Astyanax mexicanus: one gene and its partner. Each later gene encodes a partner of the first gene's protein in a complex. Links are inferred from orthologs where the notes say so. Each region holds a gene or a part of one and is shown on either strand. Other genes may lie near its edges.

Region 1 (12,012 bases):
GCCTGATTCATGGAAATTAATTTGAACAAAATAACCCAGTCTCAAAAAGACCAGTTCACTGAGGTACCCCCTTTGTGGAATTATCCCTTTATTTATATAAATGTAATATTATGTATCAATTTGGCACCTAAATTCACACCAAAAAAAATTCAACACATTCATTTAAATTAATGACATCAGTTTAATGAAAGAACATGACCTGTGCTGGATAGAAAAACGTTTATTGACAGTAAGCAAATTGTACTTATTTAAGAGCTTTACCATTTGTTTATACACTTTATAATTATTGTTTTGCTTACAAGTTAATTGTGAATCAAGCATATCCACAGACACTGCCGTCCACTGCAATCCTTTCTTCCATACTTTTGAACACTGGTGCAGTATTTAAACATCACTTTATGTGGACCCATCAACGCACATATCACTTCAATTTGAAGCAATGAAGTAACTGTACACAGCAGAATAAAAAAAGACATTGATCATAAGGGCACATTTCAATCAGTTTTGGATCATATCCTTTATAATTAACAAATCACAACAAAAGCAAATCAACAGAAAGACATAAAAGAAATGTGTAAAACAACCATGTAAAAGAAAGCAGGAAAAGTAAGGATTTGGAACAGATACACGTCTCACACTTTCTATGCAAGGCATAAGAAGATGTTGTACCTGTGACAGTTAAACTTATTTTACAGGTGGAAGGGCACATTGATCAGGGGTAGGAATGGGGTTCACGGAGTTTGCTGGACTAACGGAAGAGGGAAGGCAATCCAGCTGCTGGAGAAGTGCTACAGTGAACCCGGATACCTTTACAAACTGGAACGGACAGACCCTTTTCAGAAAGCCTCAGCAAATTCAAGCACAGGCTTGAGAAAACAATGTCAAGTGTCAGTCTTCAAGTCATACATATTGTTTCTTCTGTGCTTGAGAGGCGAAGCCTTTCGCCTTCTCTTTAGCAGCAAGCGCCGTTTCTCTGGCCCTCTCAGTCGCCGTCTCTGCCAGCGTCCGTGTAGGAGTTTCACCTGCATAACAGTTAAATGTAGCTTAGCAAAAGATAGCATTAAAACCAATCTAATAACTTAGAATGTCCCCTTATTCATACAATACCACACATGAAGAACTGGAATTCTTACCCTGCATTTTGGCCAAGACATATTCAAATCCTTTCATAGTCTTTGTGACACTGCTCTTAAATCTCGCCAGGCCAAATTCCTGTAGAGAAAACAGAGGCCATTTAGAGAAATGAAAATTCATGCTGTTGCCAAGAAATGCTGAAGGTTAACTGAAGTAATTTAAGCACAGACTAAACAGCTGCTCAGCTGTCAGCAGACCACATATACACTCTCATGACCAGTCTGTACTGGTTGTGCTATTTATAGTACCCGCTGGTAATTTTATAGGTTATAACAGTAATACAGCACAAAATGACAGACAGTGCCGGCACCATGTTACTCAAAACCCCCAGGATTTTCCTGTGTTTCCACACTAACGACCGCCCTTTAGCCCACTGACCTGAACTGCTCTGGAAAGGCCGTAGAGGCTGGAGGAGATCCAAGCCTCTCTCTTGATCTCTGTCCAGTTGCTATTGTCAGGGTTCACTCTGTACACACAGCGCTCCTCCACAGACTGCAGGCAGAAAAGCATAAACAAGTTACAACTGCAAACAAAACTAGCTGGTGCAAAACTAAACAGGGGATTTTACCACAAAAATTCAGAAAAGTATAATTAACATGTTTTATTAAGTGGGTTTTTATTGTTCTTTGGCTATGAATCTGAATCTTTGGCCTGGGTGATGGAAGGCGTCCAAAAAGGCTCTCATTATTAAGCCATTTCAATTACAAAAATCCATTACAGATGTAAACAACCAAGACACTTGTCATTGTAATGCATGGCTTATGTTAGAACTGAAGCATCATCAGCAAAATCACTTAATTTTAAATAATTAATTTCTTGTTTAGCAAAATCTAAAATTAATATAATTAAAATATAGAATTTTCATTGAAATGATAAATGTGATAATATACAGTTCTAAGCTCTGCTACACTGAACACATGATCAACACCTGTTTCTGCATTTTGGTTTTAATTTAGACCTACATTTTAACACTAGATTTTAATACTGCTTTCATATTGCTTAGCCAACACAGTTATGTCAAGTCAGTGTTATTTTCACAGTAGCACAATAAAAATGTACACCATTCATCTGAAATCAACAATCCCTTCAGTCCTGTTTACCTCAGTTAGAGATCCTTTGTTAGTGTGGTTTATCACATTTAATAGTTTAACCATTTCAGATCTTTTTAGAAACTATTTAAATCAAATTAAAGAAATTAAACTTAGCACAGTTTATTTTTTTCACACAAACTAAAACTTTTACACATTTACTTTCACTAACAGCAGCAAGTAAAATGATTTGCCTGATTAGAAACTACACAAAAAATGTAATAAAAAAATAATATCATCATGTTAAGTATGAAAGATTATTAGCATATATTTTTAGAATATGCCAATCCTAATGCATTTTGTACGAATACCAAAACATTGTGATAAATACTGTGACTATCTTTATATATCGTACTATAATTTTTTAACCATATCGCTCAGCCCTATAAGTAAATGACATACATCACAAGTGCTGATTTGTTAAATCAATATCAGAATATATCTTTTACCAACCAAAATTAAGAAATATGTTGTGATATTATGATTTTTCTATCACATGGTTTAGTCATATACAAGCCAATAACTTCATTCACTGTATTACCATAAGGGCTCGGCAACCAAACTAAGAATTTAGCCCGAATACAACAGAAAACAATACAAGACTAACAGAAAGGTTTTTAACAGATTCAGTGCAGCTCACCATAACACGTGCATGGCTGATATTCCATGTGAGAGTGACCATTGTTCTGTTGTTAGAATCCACTACAGAGTCCTCAATGATGTAGGCCTTGCGTGCCATGTGACTGGGCAAGAACTTCTCTGCCCAGCGTGGTGCTCGGCTGGTTTTGGTCAAGAGGCGTCTGGAAAGGAGACGGTTATCAGGAGTCACCTCCCGAAAGACAATGTCTTCAGTCAAAACATGATTACTGAGGAGAAGGAGAAAAAAAGGGATTATGTGAGAAAACTGTCTTACTTCTACATGATGATCCAAGTCACCTTTGGTATATCACTAAACAGTTCACTGAAAAAGCTTCGGTTTTACCTGTAAGGGTTTGGGTATCTTTGCCAGAATGCTGCAAATACTTGGTCCCATGTTCCTTTAAGAAATCCTACACAGCTGAAATACTTCACCATTGTTCCCAATTAAACCACATAGGCGAAGAACTGCAGGCAGAACACACATTTCACTGATGATTAGACATGTTAACTTAGCAAAATGAAATGATCAATATAACTGTATATTTTCAAGCTAGCTGAAGTGCTACAGTTGGTGTAAGTCTGTGGATAGTTCCACCATTCTCCAGACTGGGGTTTAATTTCACAGCTGAGCAGCACATGAGCCTTAACCTCACACTCACCTACTGGTGTAACATGATTCAAACACTGGATAGAAGCATTAGACAAATGCTGTAAATGTGCAACACTTTTCTGATCAAGATAATGCGTTGCTGGAAGGCGGATTTACTAGTAGAAACTCTCATTTCAGATATCAGGTCTGAAATATTTACTAGTAATAATGCCTGAATTTACAGATTTATTATCCATTGTGATTAATCATATTACCTGGATTACATAGTATTTATTTTAATTTATTAACATAGAATTTCATTCACTTATCTATCATAAAATTGTATTTGTAATTAAAAACTGCAGTAATAGATGTACAGAATTATCTTTTTACTACTAAACATTGTAGTTCACATTTCTGGTCAAAATTACAATGAAAATAGAAGAACCATTTCTACTAGAAAAAAGTAACTGTAGATCTGTAACTGGACATTTACTAGTAAAAATAAAAGAGTAAAATAACCAATCAAAATTACATTAAAGATGTTCTGACCTGGTAATATGAGTAGTCAGAACGGATTTAGTTATCTGGTATTATTACATAATACCAGATACATAAATAACCCAGATATAAAAAAAACACTCAATATAAATAACCCTAAAATAAAAAACAATATAAATACCGCAAATATAAACACCGCTTATATAAATAAAGTTAATATAAACAGCTGCTGTCCTTGAGTTTCAGACTCTGTCCCTTATCGCAGCGCGCTAGCTTTAGCATTAGCATTACCGTGTCCTCCAGGTACAGAGCAGGCTAGGCTAGCGGCTAACCACTAAATGAAAACACAGAATTACTTCTTTACAAAGTAACTGAAACTGGGGTCTGGAGAAGCAGCGGACTCGTGCGGGCGGTCAGATATTTACCGGGCTGCAGGAAAAGCGGTTTTACTGCGGATTCTTTATCATTTCTCCTCCGCCCTCCTCCTGCGCGCTCACACCACGAGAAAGACTTACTTCCGGCCAGAGAGCAGCTGATGCAGGGCTGACCCCGCCCCTCAGCAGGGTGCGTCCGTATTTCCACTCCCTATAAACTACACCTTACTCCCTATTCTCTACCCCTACCCCCTTCTCCATATTTCCTACCTCTAATCCTTATCTTCAACTCTCTAATCCCTTTCCCCTACTCCCTATCCCCTACTCTCTACCCCCCCCCCCCCACTCCCCATCCACTTCTTCCTATTCTCTATTCTCTACCCCCTACTCCATGTTTCCTACCCCTAATCCTTATCCTCTAGGACCCCTAGTCGCTAATCCCTTTCCCCTACTCTCTACCTCCTATTCCCTACCCACTTCTCCCCATCCCCTACTGCCTACACTATATTCTCTGCCCCTTTCTCCGTACTCCCTACCCCCTACTCCCTAATCCCTACCCCCTATTACCTACCACTTACCCCTAACCCCTAATCTTCTGATTGGTGGAGAGAATGTTTTGGGTGCTTTAGAATAAAACAACTGACTGGCTGAGGCAGAGCAGCTCATCTCATATAAAATAGTGGAAAGAACCTATACTTTTGTTCAATAGAGAACACGTGTTTTATTTCTAAATTAAGGTATTATTCCATATTTTAAAGGATGGTTCGCAAACCTAGGACTGAAAAGTGGCTCTAAATCTCATGAAGTGATGTTGAAAGGGTAACACCTAACATGATGTTAAACATTACCAATACTCATACTAATACTAATATGATTAAAGTGGCAAAATGTTGGCATACATTTTTAGTTGTAAAACCTGCAAGTTGCCACTGTCTTACTTTATTCAGTTAGTGCCCTAGAGTGGCTATAAATGCCCCACAAAGACTAATGTATAATAATGTATGTAAAGTATGCTTTTGAAAATAAAAAAGTGATATTTAAAAGAAATCTGGAATTTATATTAATTTAAATGTAATGCGTTTACAGATAAAACTATTTTACAAGAAGATTGCTACTAGAGTTACCTTGCAGCCTCTCGTTAATTCCAGCAGGGGGCAGAATGTTCTCACATTTTACCCTGAATCAGCTCCTCCTACAGATATACAACATATCATTGTAACAAATCTTCAACTGAAGGCAAATAAAAAATAAACATTAAATTGTACATGTTGATATTTATAATATAACAAGAGTAATCGCAACCCAGTAAATGACATGACTGGATCTGACTTTTAGTTTCAAGCACGATATAGGAGAAAACACACACACACACACACACAAATAAGAACAGAAATTAAGTGAAAATGATGCAAAAAAGGTTCTTGGGCCTGTAATCATTCTCCTTTAATCGTTTTTAGCATCATAAACATTCCTCATGTGACAAATCTGTATAATTATGACTTGTGGGTAGATTCTGAATCTTATAACATGTGGTTAGGTTTTCCTGTCGCTGACAAGCTGTCCTCAAATCTTGTAATCTTTAATACACAGGTGACTTCCAGCACCAGTTAGCATTATGAGTGGTAATTCTTTTTTAGTAACAGATACAATGACAAACATCAACATAGCCAATGTTTTCTGGATGCCGTTATGCCGCTGTTTGAAATGCAGAGAAATAACAAATTAAGCACTTTCTGGCCTCCTCTTATCATTTAAATGTTATCCATCTGCTACAGAAGGCTGGGTGCTCCAATACTGGACTTGGGTGATTAAGCTATTAAACAGGCCTCGTCTGTCATCAGAGCAATTTTAATCATGTAGCTTTCTCATGTAAATTTTAATTTACCTCCATTCAAATCAGAACAACACAATGAAACTCTCGCATCTTTTAGTTTCATCTTTGCACTTCCATTATAATAACTAGACTGACAAGCACTGATTATAAACTGTTATTAGCTAAATGTAGTACCTTATACATAATAAAACACATGCAATCTGCTGAATATATCTGAATACGAAAAGCAAATAAGGTCAGGGTTATGAGGATCACAGCAGGTTCTACACTCCTAGAGGGTCCTTCTTGGTTTATGAGCAATATGGAGGGTCAGACTGCGGTTGCGGGATGCCCATCATTGTATCCGTTGACCATCAGTCCTCGCAAAGACCGGGTTCGGAAGGAGCCCTCGGGGTGGATAGTGTCTGGTTTATGTTCACAGCGGAAGAACATGAGGAAGCCGTTCCTGTAGTTCTTGTTCATCCAGCCATAGAGCAGCGGGTTGGTGAAGGTGGAGCACATGGCCACGATGTGAAACAAGGTGTAAAGAAGCTTGTACTCTTTGAACTTGAGGACCAGGTCAAGGTCACTGGCCAGCTGGAACACGTGAAAGGGAAGCCAGCACACAGCAAAGACCACAACCACCAGGGCCAGCATCTTGGTTGTCTTTTTGCGTCGGCTGATGTTGTCGTTACGGTTGGATGGACTGACATGGTTCTTCAGCTTGACCCAGATGCACACGTAAGCATAGCTTATTATCCCTAGTGGAAAAACATACTGCAGAAGAAGCATGGAAATGCTGTAGATGATGGCGTCCCGATTGGTGCCATGGGGCCACTTTTCAGAGCACACGGCGATCCGTAAGTTAATGTATGGGATTTCCTCGTAACGGTATTCCCTGAAGATAGCCAGAGGCCCAGCCAGGATGGCTGCGAAGGCCCAAGTCAGGGTGATGATGATAAAACTAGTACACCTGGTGAGCCGCTGGCCCAAGTGGAACACGATGCACCTGTAGCGTTCAAGAGCGATGACTGTGAGGGTCAGTATGGACACATGGACGCTTAGAGCTTGGGCGTAAGGCACCATGTGACACATCACTGCCCCAAACTTCCACTCATCTAGTAAAGTGTATGCCAGTGTGAAGGGTAAGCACATAGTGTCCACCATCAAGTCGGCCAAAGCAAGGTTGGCAATGAAGTAGTTGGTAACAGTGCGCATGTTTCTGTAGAGAACGATCATGTAAATGACCAAGGCGTTTCCCATCAGGCCAAGCAAGATTATAAGTGTATAAGCTGTTATAAGGGCAATCTGAACGCTCAGGTGCTTTGTGATGTCATCCACAAACACAGGTTTATGAAGATCCATGGTGTCATTGCCCAGGTTGTGGTCTTCTCCTCCTCCACAGGCTACTTCACTCGTGCCGTTTGCTGGATCCGACGGGCCCATGATGTTCTAAAAGTCTTCTCAGATCAGTCCAAGAACTTTCAGCGTGTACCTGTTGCAGAAAATAAAGTCACTGTTATTTTATAAAAAATATATATTTTCTTGAGCTTGCAAGAGTATAGAGTTGTGTATGAAATCATTAACTGGTTTTCTATACATGGATTAAGTCTAGTTTTGGATTGAAGATTGGTCTAATAAACAAGCCCTATAATTAGGCTGCGTCCGAAATCGCGTACTTCCATACTAAACAGTATGCAAAAGCAGTATGCGAGATCGGGTAGTGTGTCCGAATGCGCAGTAGGCGAGTTTGAGTACGCGAAAAGTTCCCGGATGACGTACTGCACCGGGAGACATTTTTAAGTATACAAGCCCAGCACACTTCACCCGCTAATATTTCCCACAATCCACCGGGAGCCGCGCTGAGCTGAGTGACCCGTCAGTGAGCGGCGGAGCGGCGGGGGAGAGGAGTGGAGAGAGAGAGAAGTTTATGAGGTGAGGAGATTCAGATATATAAACTGTTTTGGTTGTTTGTGATATCAGGCTGTAAATGAAAGATTTATGAGGGTTAGTTTAAGTTAAAGTAGCGAGTTATAGGGGTGTGGGTTTGTTATTAATGCTGTTGCAGACAGAACATCTTTATTTTCGTATCTGAACTGCTTTACTGAGCAGCGTTAGCCCTGTGCTACTGAGATCAGTTAGCTTAGCTAGAGTTATCAAACTTATCACAACTCTTTATTAATCTTCTGTTCTACAACACCAGCGTTTACTAACTCACTACAGCCCTGTATACTGCTGCAGTGCTGAAGAGCTGGGGCAGTTTTAACTTAATACTGATCAGTCTGTATAAACTCATCTGAGGAAAAAGGCTGCTGATATCAGAGAGGCTTTTCAACAGACAGACAGACTGGTTGCCAAAAATCACATTAATAAATTATAACCAAAATCTGACCATTTCATTTAGTTTTATTAAATAGCTAGCTAACCAGCCAGGATGGTAAGACTTTTATGTTGTTCAGAATTTATATTATATTTGTTTAATGACCAAGCTAAACTGTTTTAATCTGTGTGTGTTTCAGATTCAACTATCCTTCCTACTCGAGAGGATGAAGATGAAGAGAGGGAGAAAAAAAAAAATGAACAATGAATAAAAAAAATAAATAAAGCTACTTTAAAGACTTGTCATTCTTGTATTTTGTGAGAAATGTATTTGTGTAAATATGCAAGTGAGGGAAAAATTATATTAAATAAAATAACTAAAATATTTTTTTATTGCCAAATATGATTCCCAGTTTTCCAGAAACTGACTGGTTCTAGCATATTTTATTTACATCAGTAATGCATATATGTTGCCTTTATGTTTAATGCAGTCAGTAAAAGATAATGTATAACAATAAGGATCATGTGTTTAAATATTTAGGCTAGAAAAGGAAATTCTGAGGTGAAATGGAAAGGCAGGAATTAATTAACATTTTGGTATTTATCTTTGAAACTTTTTGATAATTGTTTTGTTGCATAAGCTAGTATTATTAATATACTTCATGAATAATAAACAGTCTGTTCATATTTATTATTAAATATTTCATATTTGAGGAAATATTAATTTTAAGTTTTATTTACAGTCAGTGTTTATTAAATAGGACAGTTTGGGGGTTTATTTATTAATAAGAGCTGATTAATGAGGGGATTTTAATTAAATTAATTAGGGTAAAGCTCTGTAAAGTGTGCCGCTGGTTAGGAGGGGTGAGAGGTGAAAGGGCGTCAGAGGTAAGATGGTGGATGTAGTGCGTCCGAGGCTGCGTGCGTACTGCGGTCTGGCGTACTGAAAAAGCGTACTGCTTTGCTCGACAAGCAGTGCGTACTCACCCCAATCCAGTACGTACTGCTTAAGTACGCGATTTCGGACGCAGCCTTAGTTGAGATATGCTGTTGAAATTACTTAATTAATGTATCCTATATAACAGTAATGTAAAAATGTAAACTACTGCAAGTACAATGAGAGCCTTAAAAGTGCATCTGGCTCTGCTTCTGGTCTATACTGCGCAGAATCTGGTTGCTTTTCATGGCTTCATTTTTTGGACTGGAAATGACAGGCATAAATGTCTCTACATTTTTTACAACAAAAAGTCCACCTCCAGGAAGAACAATGTTAACATGACTGAATTTAAAGATGGGCGTGTCTGTGTTAAGGTTAATTCTGCAGTGACCTTCAATCTGTCAGTAGGAATCACTGAATGGAGCAGCAAAATACGTGTGTATTTTGTTCACCCCTCCCACACGTGCTGAACATTCTTCGTCTTGTGAAATGGATCATGACCCGAACAAAGGACTATATTGCCATTTAAGCCGATTACCCGACTTCAAATATAATAATGTCCTGCTGCAGGGTCCACTGCTGAGGGGGGAGCAGAATATTGGCAATAAGCAGCTTGATATTTGGTCTCTGGTCATCAGGGACTTGAAAACAAATCTAGGGGACTTGGGTGGCCTTTTAAAGTATAGATCAGACAGTCTTTCAAAAGGCTTTCTCTTTGTTGGTTTTTACAGCAATTATAGGCACGTGTGTGATTATTAGGCTGTCAGAACTATTTAATAGAGCCTTCGTAAAATACCTGGGGCCCACTGTATATATTTATGAAAAGCACTTGTGCTTCCATTTGTTGTTACGCAGCAGGTCATTTCGAAGCAATTACGATGTCTCATTTAAAACCAGCCGAAGAGCACTTTGTAAGAAAGTCTTGTAACGTCGCAAATGTTTTCAATCTTGTGTAAAACAGGTTCCCGCTTTTCTCCTCTATAGCAGACAGAGATTACTTCTTATTGCAGTGCTCTGTCAGCAGCCAGCCAGCAATAAACGATTAAGCTAAAACTTAGTGCACCCTTTGTAGCTTTGTTGTCATATGGTTGCTTCTGTGTCAACTGAGGATAGTATCAATAAAAGAAATGACTTATTTAAGTATCTCTCTGAACTTTAAATTCCCGCTTCTTCTAGGCCTTTTGAAGAGGATCCTTCTGAGATGCAGCACAGTTTGCTGAAAGGTCATCTCCTTAGTGACAGACGGTCTTTGCATCGAGAAAAGAAGTGTCCATTCATTTTACCTGGTCATTGAAAACATCTACACATATGAAGACGTGAAGTGGCAATCTGAATCACTCACGTCTTCAAGGGCTTGGTGGAACAGAAAGGTGAAATTACTATACAGTTATTACATTGGGAAAATGGTTTCATTTAGGTAGCACTTTAGCATTGCGATAACAGCAACATCGTTTGTGTAAGTCTTGCAGAGATAAGCATCAACCTGGAAAATTGCATCCTGAGGGCAGATGTCTCTGGAACAAAATGAATCTCTAGGTTTGTGTGCGTTTGGGGATGTGTGCATGTAAAGCAATAAACAGTTAGCATGGAAATAAGAGCAGTGTCTAATGTGATTGGCTTCCTCTCCTGAATGGTTCAACATGTACATGATTCTTAACGCTGGGTTTCACTTGTCACTGTGCTCCTTACAGTGCTAAATAACCCTGATATTAGAGGAAATATTATTGAAAGTGTAGCACTTCTCACCTTTTAAATTTCAGCTAAATTTATCTTTCAACTTCATATCATATTCAAAAGTCTCTTGAGGAAAATTTCAGTCAGGCCATTTTAGTCTTTTCCTCCGTTTATTACAGCTTTGACCCTGCAGATGGTTCTAGTCTGTCTCTCATCACTAATCACTGACACCGTGTTGATATGTTGAATCACTCAGTGCTGCAAATGATGATTTCTTGGCAAGTAAAGTTATGAGAACTCTTGGTTTATTTATGCTTTTTTTTAACAAAAAGGTTTTTGTAAAATGTTTCTACAACACTCTACAACTTCTATTTTTTTAGGAAAGAAAAATATTCCATATAGAACCAGTATAACTTAAATGAATAATCTCAAATCATCAAAGGTTTCTGGCCAGGATAAGTTGTTATTCATATAAAAGGAAATTTGTAAAGAATATTTTAAATGGTTGTGTATAGAATACAATTTATTTGTTTATAGTTCTTTATAGGACGTATTTGGCTTACAGTGTATGTTTGAAAACTGGTTCTTTGGTATTCATGCTTCTGCCCTTGTAGAAATTGGAAAATACCACAGCTCTGTTTATTCTGCCTCACCATCAGCAGCCAGAGCCTAAGATGCACGGCCAATTGTGCTCTCTTAGACTCTGGCCGCTGAGGCCATGGGTAGATATCATGCCTCTTTAAGTGCATTGGCTGATCAGAAATCAAAAAGAGGCGGTGGCTAAATTCACTGGTATCAAAGGAGGCTTGTACTTGTCCTTACCATCCTAGTGTTGAGAATACTGTAAGTAATGGGGGAAGTCATAGTAAGTGGGCAGTTTAAATAGCTCAGCTAAAACATATACAACGTATTTGTAAATACTGCATATTTGTAGATGGTTTGCT
Region 2 (10,439 bases), on another chromosome or scaffold:
TAAAGTAGCAAGCACGATTTTACTCACTGGTTATCCTGTGTGTTTAAGTTTTTCAGAGTCTGATGAGGTCTTGGAGAGGTCCTATGATGTGTTACTAAAGCTCAACATGTACTACTACTTCTGCTGCTCTACCCAAAGTTTAGTTAATTAGGACACTTTTAGGAGGACGGACTTGAATCGGGATTGTCCCTCAACACTCTTTTGTGGAACCCTGTATCTCCTCGAAGATCCGCAGGTCCGTTCAGTTTGTGCAAGGCCGGTTTGAGCTATGGCGGACGGGAGGATCTATGTGGGGAACCTTCCCATGGACGTGCAGGAGAGGGACATTGAGGATCTCTTCTTCAAATATGGAAAAATTCGGGATATCGAGCTGAAGAACAACCGAGGCACCATCCCCTTTGCCTTTGTTCGTTTTGAGGACCCACGGTGAGTTCCAGGGCTGATGTTTCATTTTCACCCTCACTGACTGACTGACGTCAGGAAACACATGGAGGAGACATTTCTCAAGTGTCCCTCAGTAGAAAGAAAGTTAGGAGCACTTTACTCTCTTCCCATAGGGATGCGGAGGATGCTGTCTATGGAAGGAATGGATATGGATTTGGAGACTGTAAGCTGCGTGTGGAATATCCTCGTTCCTCAGGATCCAAATTTGGTGGATCTGTCGGTGGAGGAGGAGGACCAAGGGGAAGATTTGGACCTCCATCTCGCCGATCTGAGTTCCGGGTTATAGTGACTGGTAGGTCAAAAGGTTTTCCTCCTTTCTGGAATTTCTTTTAGCTAAGAATTTAGTAATATTTATGTGTGGTCGGTCTCTAAAAGTGTATTCGTATTGATGAGAGATATGAATTCTATATTTTTCATTTCAGGTCTTCCTCCTACTGGCAGCTGGCAGGACCTGAAAGATCACATGCGGGAAGCAGGAGATGTGTGCTTTGCTGATGTTCAGAGGGACGGCGAGGGAGTGGTTGAATTCCTTCGACGGGAAGACATGGAATATGCTCTGCGTCGGCTGGACGGGACAGAGTTCAGATCCCACCAGGTAATTAAAAAAAAACTTGGTAGACTATGTCCAACAAAAAATAAAAATTACGTAATTATATAATATTATAGCATAATAATGCATTTTCACCCCTTAAATAAAATTAAGATTCTAAAAATCCACACAAAAAATGAGATTCTGTTAAGAAAAAATGGTTGAATAAAAGGATACGTATTTATCATATTTTTTTGTAAACGCACATCAAAAACTATTGTGGTCATTTCCATATCTCTATTGTATGCTAAGTCAATAGTGTAGTTTTTAGTATTTCAAATGATTCTTTTTTTTTTTTTTAAATGGTGTAGTAGTAATTTAGGCTGGGCAATATGGTAAAAAAAATATTGCATCGTTTTGGCATGCAGAAAACATGCATGTGTAGTGGCAGATTCTTAGAAACCACTTATCAAAATGTTACATATAATTAATAATGTTGTTATAAGTAGAGTTTATCGTAGTATTTAACACAATATGATAAAAAGTCATATTGCCCTAATACAATCAGAATCAGGCTATGTGGGCTTTTTCTATAGGGCCTAGTTTAGCTATTAGGGCATCTAGTATAGAGAATTTTAAAAGAACATAAGCATTGGGTTAGCGGTCCACACAACCATAGGACAATGTTTCTGTTGCTGCTATCAGCAACTGTATTTAAGATGAAATGCTAAATTATTCATTAAATGTACAAATTAACTGAACTGCTTTTTAATAATAAAAAAAAAAACTAAGGGAAGCGCTTCTGAGTGATTTGTTTAACAGTTTCTCCGTTTGCTGCACAGGGAGAGACTGCCTACATCAGAGTTCTGGAGGAGAGGGGAACAAGCTGGGGTCGTTCGCGTTCCAGGTCCAGGTCTCGTGGGCGTTATTCACCCCCCTATCAGAGCAGAGGGTCCCCGCCTCGTTACCGCTCCCCTCCACGCCATATGTCTCGTCATAGCCCCCCTCCTCGACGAGCACCACCCCAGCACCACAGCCCGCCCCCACGCCACTATCGGTAAAGAGCCAAGAAACGCCAGAGCTGGTCAAGTCACCCCACCCCCACGAATCATTTCCTACCTTTTTAATTTTCTTTTTGCTTTGTTTCTTACCTTCTGTAATTTACATTCCGTCACTAAAACACCCCAAAGGCCTTCAAAGTGCAGAAACGGTCTCAACAAAATTATTCCTCTAGCTGGATAACTGGCAGCTGCCAGACAGAGAGTGAACGAATGTGATGGAGCAGGTGTCCTAAAACGTCACTCCGGATTCTCCTGTGAAAGTGTGAACACTTCTTCAACTTTGTGGCATTTAGAATAGTCATCATGCTTTTGACTTTTGTCCATCTTCAGTGGTTTTAGTGAAACACACCTGTTGTTGGGACAGGATTTGCAGTCATTTGATCAATCTTCAAAATCTGTAGATTATGTTTTTTTTGTTTGTTTTAAATGAAAGGATGAACTTTTTTAATTGTTTTTTTTTTTTTTTTGCATTGTTTTTGCTGTGTTTCCCCCACTCCTTTTGTATCACGTAATGGAAGTATGCAAAGTGCTTTTTTTTTTTTCTTTTTTCAAATAAAGCATTGAGTCATGAAATTGTTCTCCCAAATGTTGGTCATTGGTCATTATTGAACACAAGTACATCAATAAGAATTCCTGGATTTCATTCATTTTATTTCTTCATATTTTTCACTTTGATTTCCACTCCTCAAATCTATTAATATACAAAAACACATTATTTAGTCACATTTTCAGGCATGTTAATATGTAATAGCTGCGTGTTATTCCAGTTACCCAATAATTTAAACAGCCATTCAATGCAAGAATGCATAACATCCTCCACCAGCTACCTGAGACGTGCATGCTCAAGTTACTGACGAGTTGAGTAAACCCACCAGATATATCACTTTTTTAGTGATTCACTGACCGAGTTTAAAATATTGAAGTAGTACCAGGATCCTACAATACATTTATTACTCAGTCATTCAGTTTTACATTCTACCCCCAGTCCCAAAATCAAGTCCTCATGTCTTGTGTTTCCTGATGATGCAAACGTCACCAGTGCAGCTCAGGAAGATCAGGTGGGCCATCCAGCCGTGGATAGAGTCTGGGTGAAGGACAGCAGCCCTGTATTCAGATCACATCAACTGCCAGGCTTCTCCTTGTTTGGCCCCATGAACTCCACACCATCGATAGGAATGTCCTTCTCTTTGATGGCTTTCTGTAAAATGATTATTGATCAGAACACTGTGGTTAAAACAGGAAAATAATTTAAATAATAAGTTAGTCTAATTTAAGATACTAGATTTACATATACACTGACATGCCAAAAAATCTTGGGATTAGTGCTGTGTCCTATAGAAGCTAAAGGACTGATTTCTGCTAGTCACTCATCTTTTTCTAGGCCCTAAAATAATATCACGATATTTAATGGTATTTCAAGAGTACACTACTGCAACAAAATAGAAATTGTATTATTGCATACAATATAGTAAGACATGCACCTAACTGAGATATATATATATTTAAAAAATATATATTAGATTTGTAACAGAAGTCAATGATCCAGAATGTTAAGATACTAATAATACACTCCAAAAAACTCTATATATACATAATCTATGACAATCTATAATAAGTATCACATCAAGGTACAACTTTTTGGCTTTTTTTTAGCAAAAGGAAAAATTCACACTGTTCTGACATATTAAATCTGTCCAGGATCATTTATTTTACTTTAATCCTGGATATATGGAGATATTCGGAATGCATTATTATTAGTATCATGACTGATCATTCTGGATCATTGACTTCTGTTACAAATCTGATCAAATTCTTGATTTTTTAAATATCTCAGTTAGGGGTGTGCAATATCATTTTGTATGCAATTATAATATGTAATGCACTATTATATTCTTGAAATAAATATATATTCTTCTATTTAATGTTCTGTCATTTCGCCAACTGTGAATGATATGTAATGTTTTAATATGTATGTTTTTAAGGGTTTAAATGTAAATATATCTCGGTAGGTTTTGATCTTCATAATAATGTAACAAAGTGATGGTGATAAATCAGGTTCTGCTTTATCTAGATAATCTCTAAACTCTGGAGTCCGGGGCGGTGTTCCGCCGGGCTGTAGAGCCGCAGGGCCGGGCTGTGCGGGCTGTGCGGGTTGGGTACCTGTACGCAGGTCTGGTACTGCTTGAAGAGCTCAGTGCAGGGGTCTCCACTCCGCTCTCCCTTCAGGAACTTCTCAGCGAACCAGCGGTTAAAACACTGATCATACTCCCTCTTCAGCTCCGTGCAGCCCTCCCCCACACTGTTCATCTTCCGCGGGGCTCCAACACGGTTCTTACAGGGCTTTAACAGGTTCAAAAAGGTTCAGCTGGTTCTGCTGCGGGTCGGTTCTGTGTTTATGATCAGCAGGAGACTCGCTTGACTTTGCAGAATCACGTGGTCAGAGAGCAGCCGGGTCGCGTTCTAATGACGCAGCAGCTGCTGTTAAACCAACAGAACACCGCTTTACTATATTCATCTTTATTAATCTTTATTAAATGTTATAAAACGCTGTAAATATTTATTAAATGTAATAAATTCCTATTCATTTTATGACATTTTAATACGCTTTGTTTAATGGTATAACGTGATTATATAACGTTATAACGTATAACGTTTTTCATCTTTATTAAATGTTATTAATCTTTAGTAAATATTATAAAAGGTATTGCATATTATTAAATGCTAATCATCTTTAATAAATGTTATTATTAAATGCCATCCTAGTAATATTTATCAAATATTATTACTCATTATTTTAAAATGTTATTACTTTAATTAAATGTTATAATTCGCTAAAGTTTTAATCGCTATTAAATGATATGAAATGTTGTATCTTAATTAAATGTTATTAATCGTTATTAAATGTTGTGTAAATGTTAACTGTAATGTTAAATGTAAACCATATTGAAAAGAAAAGGAAATGAGAAATCATAGATTTACTATATTTAAGCTTTTACAGTACAATTTACAGCTTTTTAGGCTAGCTAAACTATGTGTTTATTCTACAAGATGTTTTATGTGAGAATTACGACATGTTGGTTTTCTACTAATAATATATGGCGATGTATATGGTTATTGTGACACAATATCTCATGTTAATGACATATTAAAAGGGTTATAATTATTATTATGACTGCATATTTTGTAGAGTGTACATTAGTGAACATCCGTATCTATTTATACACTAAGTATTTTTTTCCCCTAAAAATTGTTGTACATTTTAGCAAATCCCCTTCAGTGTAAACAGTCACGATCAGATTAACAGATGATATTAAAATAAAAAGAAACAAATCACAAAGCGTTCACCACAGTTCACATTTATTCCATATTACAATACAGATTATCTTTAGTGGCACGACGTTCTGACAATATACTATGTAGTTACACAGATTACAATAAAAATATATAAGCATAGAATATAATCTTTTCACATAGTCTCGGTTATCTTTCTGTCGGTTTCTGTTTCTCATAAATAAATCGTCACTTTCAAATACAACACTTTTTACAATTCACAAATAATTTAATTTTTTTCATTTCGCTGAATATTTTTATAGTGTGATCTATTGGTTTCTGAAGTCTAATGTATACAGAGCGATTAAGAAATGGTAACACACAGATATGGACGGGTGAAGGTTAGTGTTGAGAACACTGGCACTTAAAACACTTGGTTTGAGTTACAAGATTTTAGCAGATTCCTACAATCACACTGAACCCAGTGCTAAAAGTATGAGACAACCATACAAAAATTTCGGTTGCTGGTAGTTCAGAGCATAACACACACACACACACACACACACACACACTCTTCATGTAAATGTTATACAATCGTATGTAAAAGTTTGGGCACCCCGGTGCAGATTACATGTTTTCTGTTTCATTTATGAAGTTAAATGAAGAAAGCACAACTTATGAAGTAAATTACCTTTTTTACTGCAAATCTTAACACAGAGTTTTCATTTTTAATTTGGCTAACCCCTTCAGAACTGAATGATCTCCAGTGATAGAGATTAAAAAAATTAAGTAAGCAGTTTTCTGTCTGTAATGCACAGAAAAGAAGACTAATAATCTACTATAAAATCTATATAGCAAATAAATCTTTGTAAATTGTAAATTGTAAATAAATTGCATTGGAAGCGTGTGTACAACATTTTATATTTAATACTGACCTTTTGTATTTCACAATTCATTCCTAAACATGATTAAAAGGTTTCCAAATCACAATAAATTAGTAAAAATGACTGTTACTTTGCCCCAGTTGCTCTAGTATTGTTGTTTTTTCCAAGGTTTTTGCAGTAGGTGGGGCCATGTTACTGTTTTATTGATGTATAAACTTGTTCATTGGCTGGTTTATAGTCTATTCTGATGGACAACAGCTCTCAAATAGTGAAAATTAAAAATAAAGATAAATAAAATTAAAAATAAAGATAAATAAAAAAAATACATGATGTCCATTGTAATGGATGCAGGTTCTGAAAGGGTTCTACTAAAAACTAAAGCAAAATACTAAAGCAAAATCATTATTTTTGACAATTGTAGTTCTGGATTTTCACACCCTTTATTAACTATCCTAATTAGACCAAGACATGTTATTAGAAAATAACACTCAACAATCACAGATTCCTCTAATCTGAAGGGCTGAAATTAATTTAATTACGCCTACAGGGTAAAAATGCACCCTGTTGCTAAAAATATCAGGTCTTACCAAAATCCTGTTCACACCTAGCATCAAATTTGTTCTATTAATAGCTGAAATGTGTTCATTTGAATTAATGAAACATACCAGTCCTGCTTAATTTTTTCTAAACATTTCCTAACTTTAAAAACACGCTTTTATTGTGATTTTATTGATGTGTCAGTGTAGTTTGGTACACAGACACATCACAATATGCAGATCAACCAATCAATAATACTCGCCCCCTGCTGACATCCAACCATCTGCGTCTCAACTATTTTTCATTCAACACATAAAACAAGTCGTGAATGTGCATTGTGATTTGCATTAAATTACATTTTCTGTTATGCAGTTTTTCCTTCTTTTCACTTCAAAAATGAATAAAGGGGATGCCAAAACCTTTATACACAACTGTGACTGTTCTACTGTATATGCCAAACACATCAACGCATGAACGAGTCTCACATATAATGGCTTCTTCATTCGGCCCACATTCTGATTCAGAGACCTTGTAGTTTTAAATCACTCACTGAGCAGAAACTAACACATGGCACTTGTCCCTAAACCAAGGAACTTAAGGCAAAAAAGACTGATAAAAATAAACACATCTCCGAGATTATACTTCTATTATAGATAGATTGTTTTTTTCTTTTCTTCTCGACTAAGGTCGTTTCGCTGAGTGAGGTACATACTTGTGTAGCAGCTAAACTGAGTGTCACAGAGTGACGAGCATCACCGGGGGGCAGAAAGCTTAGGTCATAATTACAAAAAAGAAAATCACTCTGTTTGTATAATACAAGCTCAATTCATAATACCTGAAAACAGGAGGATGTGCTGACACTGACTGGGGTTTTTTATCTTCTTCGTGCAAATATTGTGATGCCATAATGTACATAATGTAATGTAATACTTTAAGAATCTGGGTTCTACGTCTTTTAGCAGTGATCACCACTCTGAATATAGTGGTTTCTTTATACTACATTTTGCAAAAACGGATATTTTGTGCTTTTCAAAGAATCTGTGTTGGTAGAGACACATCATTTGGTTCTGTTATCATCACCATTAGTACTGTAATTAACATTTCAGCCCACTTCAGTCTTTCCAATACAAAACTTTGATCAACTATGATCAACCATATATCTATATATATATATATATATATATATATTCCCAGGTGTTATCATTTTATTTGGCTGTTGTTGTTCTCCAGCACTACATTAGTTTAAAATGTGTTTTGGGCCAACTCTCACTGTTTTCCCGGCACAGAACCCTCTGAGAAGCTTCTCAGCAGGAGGTCAAGAGAAAGATGCGCTTTATCAGCTGGGTTTAAACGTATGATACGCAGAAATAGGGCACAAGCAGTAGTTTTCTTTAATTAGACGGTGGAGCGCCGATGGAGAAATGGAGACGCCACATCACTTGTTCTCTATGAGGATCTGGACCTTGTGGACCAAGTCTCGGGCCATCACCAGAAGTTTCGGGACGTCGTGTCGCTCAGCCATTTCTGTAGAAACAAGTCAAGTCAACTCATCTTTATTAATACAGCAGATTTAAAAGACAAAAAGTGCTCTACAATAAAATCATATAACACCAACCTAATTCAAATTAACACAAAAAATAGACATAAAAGAGACTTAAAATTATCCGCTGTGGCTCATTCCTTTATAAAAATTGAAAGATTATTCCAAAGTTATGGATCTGGATCTACTGTCCACAGTGTCACATATGTCCCAGTCAGGGAGGCTAATATTAGTGCCAACGGTGGATCGTGACTGGCGGCATCTGGTTAGAATTGTCCATGTGAACCAGTGACAAGCAGTCTTCGGCAAAAGTCAATCACAACCACATTCAATGCAGGAGATCCCACACACATATCTCACAGATAAGTGCAGCATTCTTTAGCTCACACAGCACATGCCAAAAGTCATGGGACACAGTGGGACCCATGTCATATCTGGCGTTGTTTTTTTTTGTTTTTGTTTCTACACCTGCACTATTCGGTCAGGTAAAAACGGACTCTGGTTCGTTTTTTGTACCCTTAGTGAGGTTTGATCAAACAAACAAACTCTGGAGTAGTTTCGCTTGTGGTAAGAACATGATCCGATCTTGATCCGACCCAGCTATATCAAATATACTCCTTTTATTTAAGCTAAACTGCTGATAAGGTTCAGTTTAATCTGAAACATTAGCCAGATAATGGCAAATAATTACCACAGCTATGAACAAACATGGTCTCTGCTGCTCCATGCTGTTTACACATGCTTCATGTGCAGCGTTCACTGCTCACAGCTTTAAAATGCACAGATATATATATATATATATATATATATATACGCCAGAACACAGAATCTTCTCACTATATTTACTTTCTTGCTTTCATGGCAGACAGCTCTGACCAATCAGAGGAGAGAATGTGCTTGTGTGGTTTATTGATCCGTATTTTCGTGCATTTAAATTTGTGCCTGTGTGAAACCAAACCAAACAGAGGGAGAAACGCTCCAAAACGACCTGAGAGCCGTCTTACCGTTAAAGAACTTGATGATGTCAGTGAAGTCCATGTTGTTCTCCAGAATGATGTCTCTGTACAGCTCAACCAGGGCCAGGGCAATGAAGAGCACAAAGTGGCCAGAGGAGATGGTGCGGGCAGCCCAGATGGTTTCCCACACAGAGAACACATCGTCATACACCATTTCTTAGGAGGGACACAGAAACAACAGAAAAATGAGATACATCAAATTTAACCCTTTTGGAAGCGAAAATAAAAAAAATATAGACATATACACATATATGCACAGATATCCCGGTTCTACATAAAAATACGTACCTCTCTTAAAGTCTAAAAGAAACCATCGGTAACAGAAGTAAAAGTGGGTGTAGTCTCCATTCTGCTGCATCAGCTCAAAGAGTTCAGAATCAAGAATCTGAAAAATAAAAAACAGAAAAATCCTCACTAGAAACAGAAACTAGAGACACAATAACCCCACGCTTGCTTTAGAAACGTGTTTTAATGAGGTCGTACCTGAATAAGCGAGCGCATGTTGGCGAAGTGAGTGTCCATAGCTCCTCCATGCGGAAAGTTCTGGTTCATCCTCTTCATGAGTTCCGTAAAGCAGCTAAAAGCCATGGCCTCTAACAAAAACAAAGGGGTTTGATTAGCAAGCTGTCCATATCAGTCTTAAACAATACAATCTAAAGGTTAAGAGAATAATGCAAACTGAGTGTGAACGTACCATCGTCAAGAATAACAAGCAGAGGCGCGAGTAAATCACACATTCCCTGCACATAGCCGATATCCAGATGCTGCCAAACATAGCTACAAGGAAAATCAAGCAAAAAGCCAAATTAAAAAAGATATTTAGGTATCTGTGTTTTCAGTCAATGTGCAGAAACACACAGCAGCAGCTAAATAACCAGCGTATTTCAGATTCACCTGCACATGATGTTACGCAGTTTCTCCAGATTTGTTGTGGTAAAATACCAGTAATTTCTATCACAGCGCTGGACGTCTTTATCGATACGGTGCAGATTGAGGGTGTACAAGTCCAGCAGCTCTTGCTGTAAAAGAAAAAGTAACAACTGTCATTTAAAAAAAATGTAAAGCAGGGGTTCACACATTTTTGCAACTTGCTTCCACTTAACCCACCACAAAACATTATTTAGACCATTTAAAATTGTATTCATATTCCATTGGATT

What was found.
Region 2: the proteins of prelid1a (region 1) and triap1 are in contact, whole or in part, in a crystal structure (PDB 6I3V), measured with the Homo sapiens proteins. The link is inferred for Astyanax mexicanus from reciprocal best matches to the Homo sapiens genes PRELID1 and TRIAP1. Residues at the interface, in NP_037369.1 of Homo sapiens: Trp15, Asp16, Phe19, Ala20, Trp23, Gln24, Tyr26, Pro27, Val34, Leu35, Thr36, Glu37, Asp38, Ile39, Val40, His41, Arg42, Val44, Gln48, Lys49, Leu50, Leu51, Ser52, Arg53, Leu55, Thr57, Tyr79, Leu81, Asp83, Ser84; in NP_057483.1 of Homo sapiens: Met1, Asn2, Ser3, Val4, Lys12, Tyr15, Asp16, Phe19, Asn20, Trp22, Phe23, Phe27, Leu28, Gly30, Asp31, Ser32, Phe41, Tyr44, Gln45, Val48, Gln49, Ile52, Ile57, Pro58, Ile59, Leu62, Glu63, Phe64, Met65, Gly66.

Annotation. Positions count from the first base shown.
Region 1 is NC_064417.1:35,329-47,340, forward strand, and holds prelid1a (PRELI domain containing 1a), read right to left. Parts: upstream 4,492-12,012; 5' UTR 4,377-4,491; intron 3,327-4,376; 5' UTR 3,297-3,326; coding exon 3,205-3,296; intron 3,089-3,204; coding exon 2,863-3,088; intron 1,627-2,862; coding exon 1,513-1,626; intron 1,213-1,512; coding exon 1,134-1,212; intron 1,023-1,133; coding exon 901-1,022; 3' UTR 162-900; downstream 1-161. Other genes in the region: npy7r (neuropeptide Y receptor Y7), read right to left, coding at 6,469-7,584. UniProt on the Homo sapiens protein: Involved in the modulation of the mitochondrial apoptotic pathway by ensuring the accumulation of cardiolipin (CL) in mitochondrial membranes.
Region 2 is NC_064427.1:3,254,927-3,265,365, forward strand, and holds triap1 (TP53-regulated inhibitor of apoptosis 1), read right to left. Parts: upstream 4,487-10,439; 5' UTR 4,342-4,486; coding exon 4,195-4,341; intron 3,233-4,194; coding exon 3,155-3,232; 3' UTR 2,665-3,154; downstream 1-2,664. Other genes in the region: srsf9 (serine/arginine-rich splicing factor 9), read left to right, coding at 269-426, 558-736, 867-1,039, 1,816-2,034; sgsm1b (small G protein signaling modulator 1), read right to left, coding at 8,161-8,249, 9,270-9,437, 9,570-9,666, 9,765-9,874, 9,976-10,058, 10,176-10,300. UniProt on the Homo sapiens protein: Involved in the modulation of the mitochondrial apoptotic pathway by ensuring the accumulation of cardiolipin (CL) in mitochondrial membranes.